Drosophila melanogaster: one gene and its partner. The protein of the gene in region 2 interacts with the protein of the main gene of each other region in a pairwise test. Each region holds a gene or a part of one and is shown on either strand. Other genes may lie near its edges.

Region 1 (3,590 bases), about 13 Mb from region 2:
GCGAGAAGAAAACATTCTCAGGTTGGCAAAGGTTAAGGCAAATGGTCGGTTGGGATGCTTCGCCAGAATTCCTGTGGGCAGCCCACAGATTCAATCGATGGATTCCAATTTCGAAGCCCAATAAAAGAACCTAAGAGCCAACATTAGTATGCGTACAATGGCATCTCTTACCAATGGCCAAGCATACTTACATATGTATGCTTGGGGCATGACTCACCTCGCCAAGTGAAAAGAGCCAAAACAAAAAACATGAGTAAATGCACATTCATGGATTTTAAATGGGCCGATGAAAATAAAGAAATAAACTGTTGGCAGCACATAAGACTCCGCTGAGCTGCGAGCGTGACTTGTTTACCACCCCCCCCCCCTTTTTTTTTGGTTAGTTGCTTTTGCGCTTGCCGCCCCTTTGGTTTCCCCGATTTACCGCCTGGGCCGCCGTCATTCATTCACGCCAACTGTTGATAAGTTTCTGTGACACATTCGAGCCGTTTGCATATCGAGACGGCTAACGAAGCCCAGCCTGTGGCACCATTAGATAGGGTTAATGGACAGCCGAGGAATGGCGACAGCTGCCTTGGCATTATCACTTCTGACTTGGCTTTTATTCGGTTGCAAGGCAAGCGGTTAGTGCCGAATCTTTCTCTCATCGAATCACCATTAAACTAAACATAGGAAACTAGACTTTACGCCTTCTTTACTCCTTTGGCTTTTCCGTGGTCCAGTTCTTGGGAGGATCGGCCATGATGGTCCAGTCGTTTCCGGCAATGTTCAGACCACCATACTGCTTGATCGGTGTGTTTGGGAAGAACTCCCAGCCCTGTTCAATGGACATCTTCTTGATGACACCAGCGATGCCTGAAAAGAGTGAGTGGTTAACTCTAGTGCTTTAGTTTCATAGGAAGCGAGGGAACTAACCCAGGAAGAGGCCGGCGCACAGACCAGCTACGTGGTTGTGTTTCCAGGCTCCAAAGACGCCGCCAGCCGCAAAACCGCCGATCAGGTAGTTGATTCTGCAATTCAAACATGGTTAGGACCAATAGCCATCAACAGGTGGGCTGCTTACTCACTTATCGTCCTTGCCGCGCGCATTTGTGGCCACCAGGGTGGTCAGAGTGAACGCCGTGGCCATGCCCATCAGCGGACCCGTGTTGTAGGCGAAACGGCCCAGTGTGGGCAGATATCCTTGCGGCTTGGAGAGCGTCAGGACGTCGAACATGGACCAGGCCACGCCGGCGGATACCGCGTACTTGTTGGTGGCCACGATCTTGCCAAAGGCATCCTCGCCATCGGGATGGTCGTAGTATTTCGAACGGAGCAGCGACATGGTTTGCTACGGAAGGTATGGAGGTCCAAAAACATTAGCCACAATCAAACGTAAGAATTACGGAACACCCATTGTGTCTCCAGTCACAAGGAACATTAGTGATTGTTCTGTGAACGCTATCCCTTAGGAGCATGGCTAGTGGTAAGTTGCGCAGAATTACTGTGGAATATACAAAAAATTGCTAACCTGCCGAAATTTACGTAATTATTGTGGCGGAGATTGACAAAAAACAGCTGTTCGCCAGTGTATACACACGAGCAGAAGGAAAAATTCACTCTTTGTGCTGTAAGGCGCATTCTGTTAATCAAAATGTTACAGCACTGTTAGTTTGAAAAACTAATTTTTTAGAAAATTATAATTGGAAAATATTAAGGAATGAAATTTCATTATAACTATGTATTAATTTAAAATTCAAAACACATGTGGATGTCAAGTTCGGTTTTCAATTTATTCATTATACTAGGTTCACAAACGCCGTGGCACTAACTTTATTTGTTTAATCATACGATTTACGTGCGATCGATTGGATTTTTTTTTAAGGTAATTTCATTGCCAAGTAGCTACGGATTTTGATTAGACGATGCGGCTTGAAATACATATGCGCTTAGCTTAATGGTAGACTAGTTTTGCATTGACTTTCAACTAAGAGTATTCACACAAAATCATGCAGTTCACAAAGACGCGGTTTTCTAAACGAGCTAAAGAGTTTTCTAGACATGCAAGTTTGGCTTTAAGTTTTGACCGAAAATGATTAAGGTTTTCAAGAGCATAAAGTTTTAAGGTTTACTTTAGAGGGAGTAGACACAACGTTGGCGTTTTAAAATCAAAACGAAGATATCAAAACATACAATATGTATATATATACAAATCAGATATCAAATTATTGGCAAATCTGTTTCGTGGCAATCAGTCATAATGTTCGTCGTTCAACGAAATTAGCAACGAAATTTCACTCGGCCCTTGCAATTAGTTAGTTTCGTCTGAATCAAGTCGTGTTCATTGCCAAATTATATATATATAAAAATCGATCTACTGCTCGTCGTGTCCAATTATTTCGATGTCATCAGCCAGAGGACTTTCCACTGCGGATTTGCCTGCATTTCCATTTTGTTGATTTGCGTCCAAATTAATCAATGACAATGTCATTCTGCTGCTAAGAATGATCTGCAAGTTAATTAAGTTAATTAATTGATATAGTTTAGTAGAATGGCTTATCCATACGGCTGGTTCCTCGGCTGAGCCATTGAGCTCCGAGTCGTAGACTTCTTCGCGTTTGATCTGGGAGTCGGCAACCAAAATCTGGGACTCATGGGCCAAAGCGCCTTCCAAGTAAATGGACTGCGGCTCCGGCAAGTTGTCTTCCAATTTGGACTGAAATCGAAGAGGGATTCTATTTAGTATTTCTGATATACATATTTAAAAGCTTCAACACATATGCGCAGAGGAGGTTGAGAGCGTAGGAAACATCCCAGTTTAATCACTTTTTTTTGTAGGGATATATTGAAAGCGTTAGGGTAGCAGTTAGTCGAAACTAGTCTAGTTAAGTTGAGAACTTGAAAGTGGTGGGGGGTCTGTGCGTCAGTGGCACTTACATGTTCGCTTGGCGCTCGGAAAACAGGCGTTGGAGGGCGTCCAGTCCACTTGTGGCCGCCCTCGCAACTGGCTGTTAACTCCATGCCGAGTACCTGCACCAATATTCGATTATTTACGGCAAAGATCTACGTACTCAAAGGTGCTATACAGGGTATATAATGGCATACCGTCAGTTCCTGTTCAGCGCTTAGATCCCGCCGTTTCCTGGCTCCCTTCGCCACGGTCTCCTGCTCCGGATTTTGGTCGGTGCTGCTTGCATGTCCATTGGATAGGTTCTGCTTGTCTAGTGGTTGCTCCCTCGTTTTTTCGTTGTCGTTTTTCTGCACAGGATACACAGGATATAATACGGTTAGAGAGGACACTCTCGAAACAGTCAGTAGAATGTGAGAGCTAAGCAATTCTATACAGCCTCAAAACGCAAGAAATCAGAAATCGAACGCATTAATTACTTCAATTCGTTGTGGTTAGGTGAAACGCAACAAAACTCAATTAGTCGAAGGATCTTGGTTAATAAACAAAAAGATTAAGTTCTTGTTACAAATTATATGTTCAAGGATTGCCGTGCCGGACCCTTTGAAGGTCTCTAACCTTATTCGAATCAGTTTCAGTGTCGCTCGTCGCCCTCTGCTTGTCTTGGCCATTCAATTGCTCGTCGGCCGCGTCTATCAAACCT
Region 2 (5,198 bases):
TGTCTAGATGGAGCACCTACCTGTGGGAGTGTTTCCCATCTGATGAGCATTGCCCACCAAAGGCAGCATACTTGGGCCTTGGAATTTGTTCAGCATTCGCTTTCGCCGCAGTAGTCCAAGCTCGAAATAGGTCACCAAGAACAGTGGAAGGGCAAGAAAAGCGCACAGTACGATCCACATTTTGAATGCGACCACAGACAACCGATCGGTGCAGCGAGTAAATCGGATTTGAGTAGAAACCTCAAGACTCTCTGCGTCAGTACTTCAACCGGTTGCGGCAGACAGTTCTCAGTCTCTCGCGCTTGGATATACATCCACACATAAGAAGCAGCCTATGACTATCTCCCAAATTTTAAACTAATATATGGGCACTCAGCATGACCTTCTATATGCTGCGACTAAGTTTCTTGATGAACATTTCTCTTGAAAATGGCTTACACGTGTGGAAACTATAATTTCAAATTTTTTAAGCTAATTAACATAGTCTCAATGGTTCAAAGATTAAAACGAGTTGATTTGTTTCAAAAGTTTTATGTGTTGTATGAGACAAAGTGATTAACAGCTTCCTAATAATTGTATCTGTGGGGACGGCATACCTAAAAAAACACAGGTATGCAAAATTAAAGCACCAAACTTAACAGAGATCAATAAATTGACATTTTAGTGCCTTTCCTTCAGCCGAATGTATAGACCATTTTCGGATTTCAGGGTCAGCACAGCGGAAAGAATAGGGTCGTATTTGTGACGGTATGGATCGCGCTTCTTCCTCTCGGCATCAGGGAGTCCAATAGTGGTGCTTATATAGCCATCCTTAGAGACGAGCTCATCCAGAGCAGGAAGCACCTCGAAGTTCCTAATGATCTTGGATACCACAGTCTTAATCTCCAGCAGGGCGAACTTCTGACCAATGCAGTTTCGGGGTCCAGCGCTGAAGGGTACATACTCAAAAGGTCCTGGTTTCTCCAGCTCAAAGCGCTCAGGTCGGAACTTGTGGGGATCTTTGAACACCTTTTCGTTATAACCCAGCATCACGAGACCCAGGTTCAGTGTGGTGCCCTTGGGTACGAGATCCCCATCTATAAGCAAGTATGGTACTGTTATGTAAAGCTCTTTAAATTGCTTTAATTAATGGTTACCTATAACATAGTCTTTCTCCGTAAATCGTCCAATGAAAGGCACGCTGGGATAAACACGCTGGGCCTCCTTGATAAAGAGATCCAAGTACTTCATTTGGGATATTTCCTGGAAGGTGGCATCGCGACCCAGTTCGGAATTACCCATTACTTCGCGTTGCTCCTTAAATAGTTTGCGCTATAATAGCAAGGGAAGTTAGTCATTTAAAGATTTGGCGTCTCAAGCAATGTACTGAACCTGTTCATCTTGATGTCTAGAAAGCAAATAGACAGCGAACGACACTCCAGAAGTGGTAGTATCATGTCCTTCAAACATAAATGTGGAGACCTCTTCGTACAGTTCCTTGGAGTTCAGGGGACGACCATCAATAGTGGAGGACAGCAGAGTGTCTAAAAAGGCCATTTTCTTGCGAGTGAACTCATCTCCCGCGTTGGTCGAAACTGCACCCGATTTGTGGGCTTCAATGCGCTTAGCGATGATCTCGTTGGTAAAGTCCTGCAGTGTTTTTAGAGTCCTGCTATAGGCCGGGTAGTCCGGAGCCAAACGATACAGCAGTTCATTGCGCTTCAGCGGGTGGAAGGCTCTCATGTTGATGTTGTAGCACATGCTGAAAAGGATCAAGAGTCATGCAATCTGATAGTTCGACTACGAGGTACGAAACTAACTCTTTGAAGGCCTGCACAATGGAAGAGCTGCGGTTTTCCATGGCATTGATGGACACACCCATCGCTGTGTCGCAAATGACATCCAGGGTCAAATAGTGGGCCTGTTCTTGGAAGTCGAATATATTGTCCCCGGCAGCAACTGTCTTTAAGTGCTTGATAAACTTGGTGGAGTTCTCGTTCATCACCTCGTGGAAGTCCTGCAGGATGTTGAAGTGGAATGCTGGGGTGATCATCTTGCGGTGTTTATGCCATTTGCTGCCAGTACTGGTGAGGAGACCTAATCCCAGCCAAGGGTGTGTTAGTTGATAAATGTCGGACTTTGTGATCAGCGTCTGACTGCTGAGTATGAACTGAAGAAGTACGAAAATAATAGAGTCACATGATTACATGATTGGTGGAAATTCGCTGTAACTCACTTCAAGGTACTTGGAGCTGGTGACCAATACATTAGAATACGTTCCAATCCAAAAGACGAAGTTGTCTTTTCCATACTGATGCCACCAGGAGAAAACCGTGTCGAGTATTTCTATATAGACGTGAGAAAATGCCATTAGTAGGCGGATCGCGTACCAATATCGGTATTCCGTAGATAATCATTGCTTGTTTTTGGCACGCGATTTTCAGTATTCATTAGTGCAGTATAATACATACATACATACATCGTATATTACACAACACAAATCAAAGCCTCGTCATTATTTTTGCGATACTCGACCTAGGCTACGATTAGCCCATTTCTACAAGTGCCAGTAGCCCCATTATCTGATAGTTAACACCCTTGTTTTCCGGTCGTAAAGTCGCTGGCCCAAAATAACCTTACTTGAATAGCCTCGCCGCTGAGTAGATTCGATGCGCAGTTACCTCAGTCACAACGCTATTCGAGATGGGTAATTTCAGGTGTGTCCTCTGCGTGGCTAACGCTACGACTTTTCCGGCTCCTATGAAAAACCCACCTGACGGATTCTTGCCCATTTGATGAGCGTTTCCCATCAGCGGCAGGCCGCGGGGGCCGTTGAACTTGTTAAGCACTCTTCTCCGGCGGAATGTGCTCAACTCCAGATATGCAACCAGCAGCAGTGGTAGGGCCAGAAAAATATACAACACGAACCACATTTTCGATCGCGAGTTCCACGACAACCGTCCAGCCCGCGAATCACTGGAAATATGAGAGCTTATTTGGGCCGGCGGGCGGTTTAAATACGAGAGATACCAATATCAGCCAGCTCCCCAGTCGCTTGCTCCCTTATCTGCCGTTTTCCTAATCCAACTGTAGTCTCCCGAATATAAGTATATATTTTGGTGCTTTCAGCATGACTTGCCGAATCAATATCAGGTTTTTTAAGATGAGCCCCCTGATTAATCGTTAGATGAGATGGAGAACCAATAGTTTTCGAGACTGCGCTTAAATGTGTAACAGTTAACTTTTTTTAAAACTGTATCCAGTATATATTGTTTTATGGCAGCAAAAAATGGAATAAAACAAAACGTTGATAAACATTCGCTCACAACAAGAAAGAGAAATCGGGAGAATTGATGAACACATTATGTTTGCAAAATGTTTTTAAGATTACTCTTACAGAAATTGAAGAGAAGAGAGAGAAAGTCGCTTGCTCTTCTTAGCTTATCAGCAGCAAGACTTAAATTTGGTAGAAATCACAGACGTAAGGTAAAATCCACTGCAAATTTAAATTTACATTTACATTTAAGAAATGATATCAGCACAGTGTGCGTTTATTTTTCGATTATTCTGTTCCGCTCCGTCACGTTTTGAGTTACATATGTAAATAGAAGCAATCTTTTTGGAAGAGTTTTATAGAGATAGTTTTAGAACTGAGAGACGCACATGGCTATATCGATATAATATCAGTCAATAAAACATGATACTGATCAAGAATATATATACTTTATATTCTCGCTGCAAAATTCGAACTTAAGCCAAACACGAAAAACGTTTTAAAAGAAATCCAATTTTTTACATTGTCTCTGCATCATGACTTGTAGTATGATAAAAGCATTATAAAAGCATATGGGAAATGCATTCTTTCGTAAAAATATGCTTTCGGAAACGAGTTAATTTGTGAATTTACATCAAAATGAATAGCTTTGAAGATAAATCTAGTGGAAGAGAAGAAAATGTTAAAAAGCGGCATTATTCTGTTCGTTGTTCTTCCGTTATCAGCACAATGCTATATATTTTTCAAGAAAACGCTGTTATGTATAATTACATTATATATATATATGTTATATTTATATTTGCTAAAGCAAATAAATTACTTTGGACGGCATTCCACCTAGTGACTAATCGCACTAGGAGTGTGTGCGAATGCGACTGCTATATGTACATATATATATACACAATTAAATGATAAGTTCTGTAGTTGTACGAACTTAAGAAATGTTTATACTTATGTATATGGTAATTCTTAATTTTTTGTCCTATTTTGAAAAAAAAAAACTATTTAAACTTATTCGTTTTAAAATTCAATGCTGTGTAGCTATTAAAATTCCTTATTAATATTAAAATTTTTTTAAATGCATTAATAAATTGAAAAGTCATGATCGTCTGGTAAGTATAAATATAAATATAAACACCAATCAAATTTTTTTTTAAATTTATATGTATTTAGTTGTTAATATCAATCTTTTTACCACACACCTTTTCAATTTGATTGCTTTTCCAAAAGTTATCTATTTTGTGTTTACTATGTTGAACAAACAGCTTATCGTGCCGTTGTTAATCCCTCAATCAAAAGTGTCCCTATTAATAATTATTGCGTGTCAAAAATTATGGCTACCGCCCTAATTCATTATCACGAAGCGACTAACAATCGTTTATTGGCCCCAAATCTTCTGGCGATACCAAAAGGCCTTTAGACCTACACGTCATCAGTTTAGTGAGTCAATTCCCACTAGGTAGTCCACAATAGTTATATTTATCAATTACCGACGGCAATAAAGTACTATGTTAATAGTACATCGATTGCAAGCAACAAACAAAAAATAAAATGCATAAAGTTCAGATAAGCTATCGAAGGCATAATCGGGCGAAAATTGGTCACCGACTAATCTGCGAATGTTACGGCAAACCACAGTCTGTGCGGCATTGCGAGCGAGAACAGTTGGGCGGCATCATGTTTCTAATAGCCATTGCCATTATTTTGGCCACCATTTTGGTGTTCAAGGGAGTGAGGATATTCAACTACATAGACCACATGGCTGGCATCATGGAGATGATCCCAGGACCCACGCCATACCCCTTCGTGGGTAATCTGTTCCAGTTCGGTCTCAAGCCAGCCGGTGAGTACTGACCAAATAGCCTGCCTATATTTATGAACTCTTCAACGTTTAATGCCAAAATCGTGGCTCTGACCGAATCAGCCCGCCGCAATCACCTGGGAA

What was found.
Region 1: the proteins of Cyp4e2 (region 2) and ND-B14.7 interact in a two-hybrid assay, tested with the Drosophila melanogaster proteins (one large-scale study listed by BioGRID).

What each region holds. Positions count from the first base shown.
Region 1 is NT_033778.4:21,023,081-21,026,670, reverse strand, and holds ND-B14.7 (NADH dehydrogenase (ubiquinone) B14.7 subunit), read right to left. Parts: upstream 1,594-3,590; 5' UTR 1,511-1,593; intron 1,331-1,510; 5' UTR 1,325-1,330; coding exon 1,068-1,324; intron 1,011-1,067; coding exon 916-1,010; intron 856-915; coding exon 695-855; 3' UTR 585-694; downstream 1-584. Other genes in the region: RIC-3 (RIC3 acetylcholine receptor chaperone), read right to left, coding at 2,354-2,488, 2,546-2,695, 2,917-3,009, 3,085-3,237.
Region 2 is NT_033778.4:8,442,485-8,447,682, reverse strand, and holds Cyp4e2 (cytochrome P450 4e2), read right to left. Parts: upstream 3,124-5,198; 5' UTR 3,010-3,123; intron 2,973-3,009; exon of another isoform or gene 2,956-2,972; 5' UTR 2,913-2,955; coding exon 2,753-2,912; intron 2,702-2,752; exon of another isoform or gene 2,602-2,701; intron 2,326-2,601; coding exon 2,216-2,325; intron 2,150-2,215; coding exon 1,800-2,149; intron 1,742-1,799; coding exon 1,372-1,741; intron 1,312-1,371; coding exon 1,137-1,311; intron 1,077-1,136; coding exon 661-1,076; 3' UTR 519-660; downstream 1-518. Other genes in the region: Cyp4e1 (cytochrome P450 4e1), read right to left, coding at 21-180; Cyp4ad1 (cytochrome P450 4ad1), read left to right, coding at 4,931-5,096. UniProt on the Drosophila melanogaster protein: May be involved in the metabolism of insect hormones and in the breakdown of synthetic insecticides.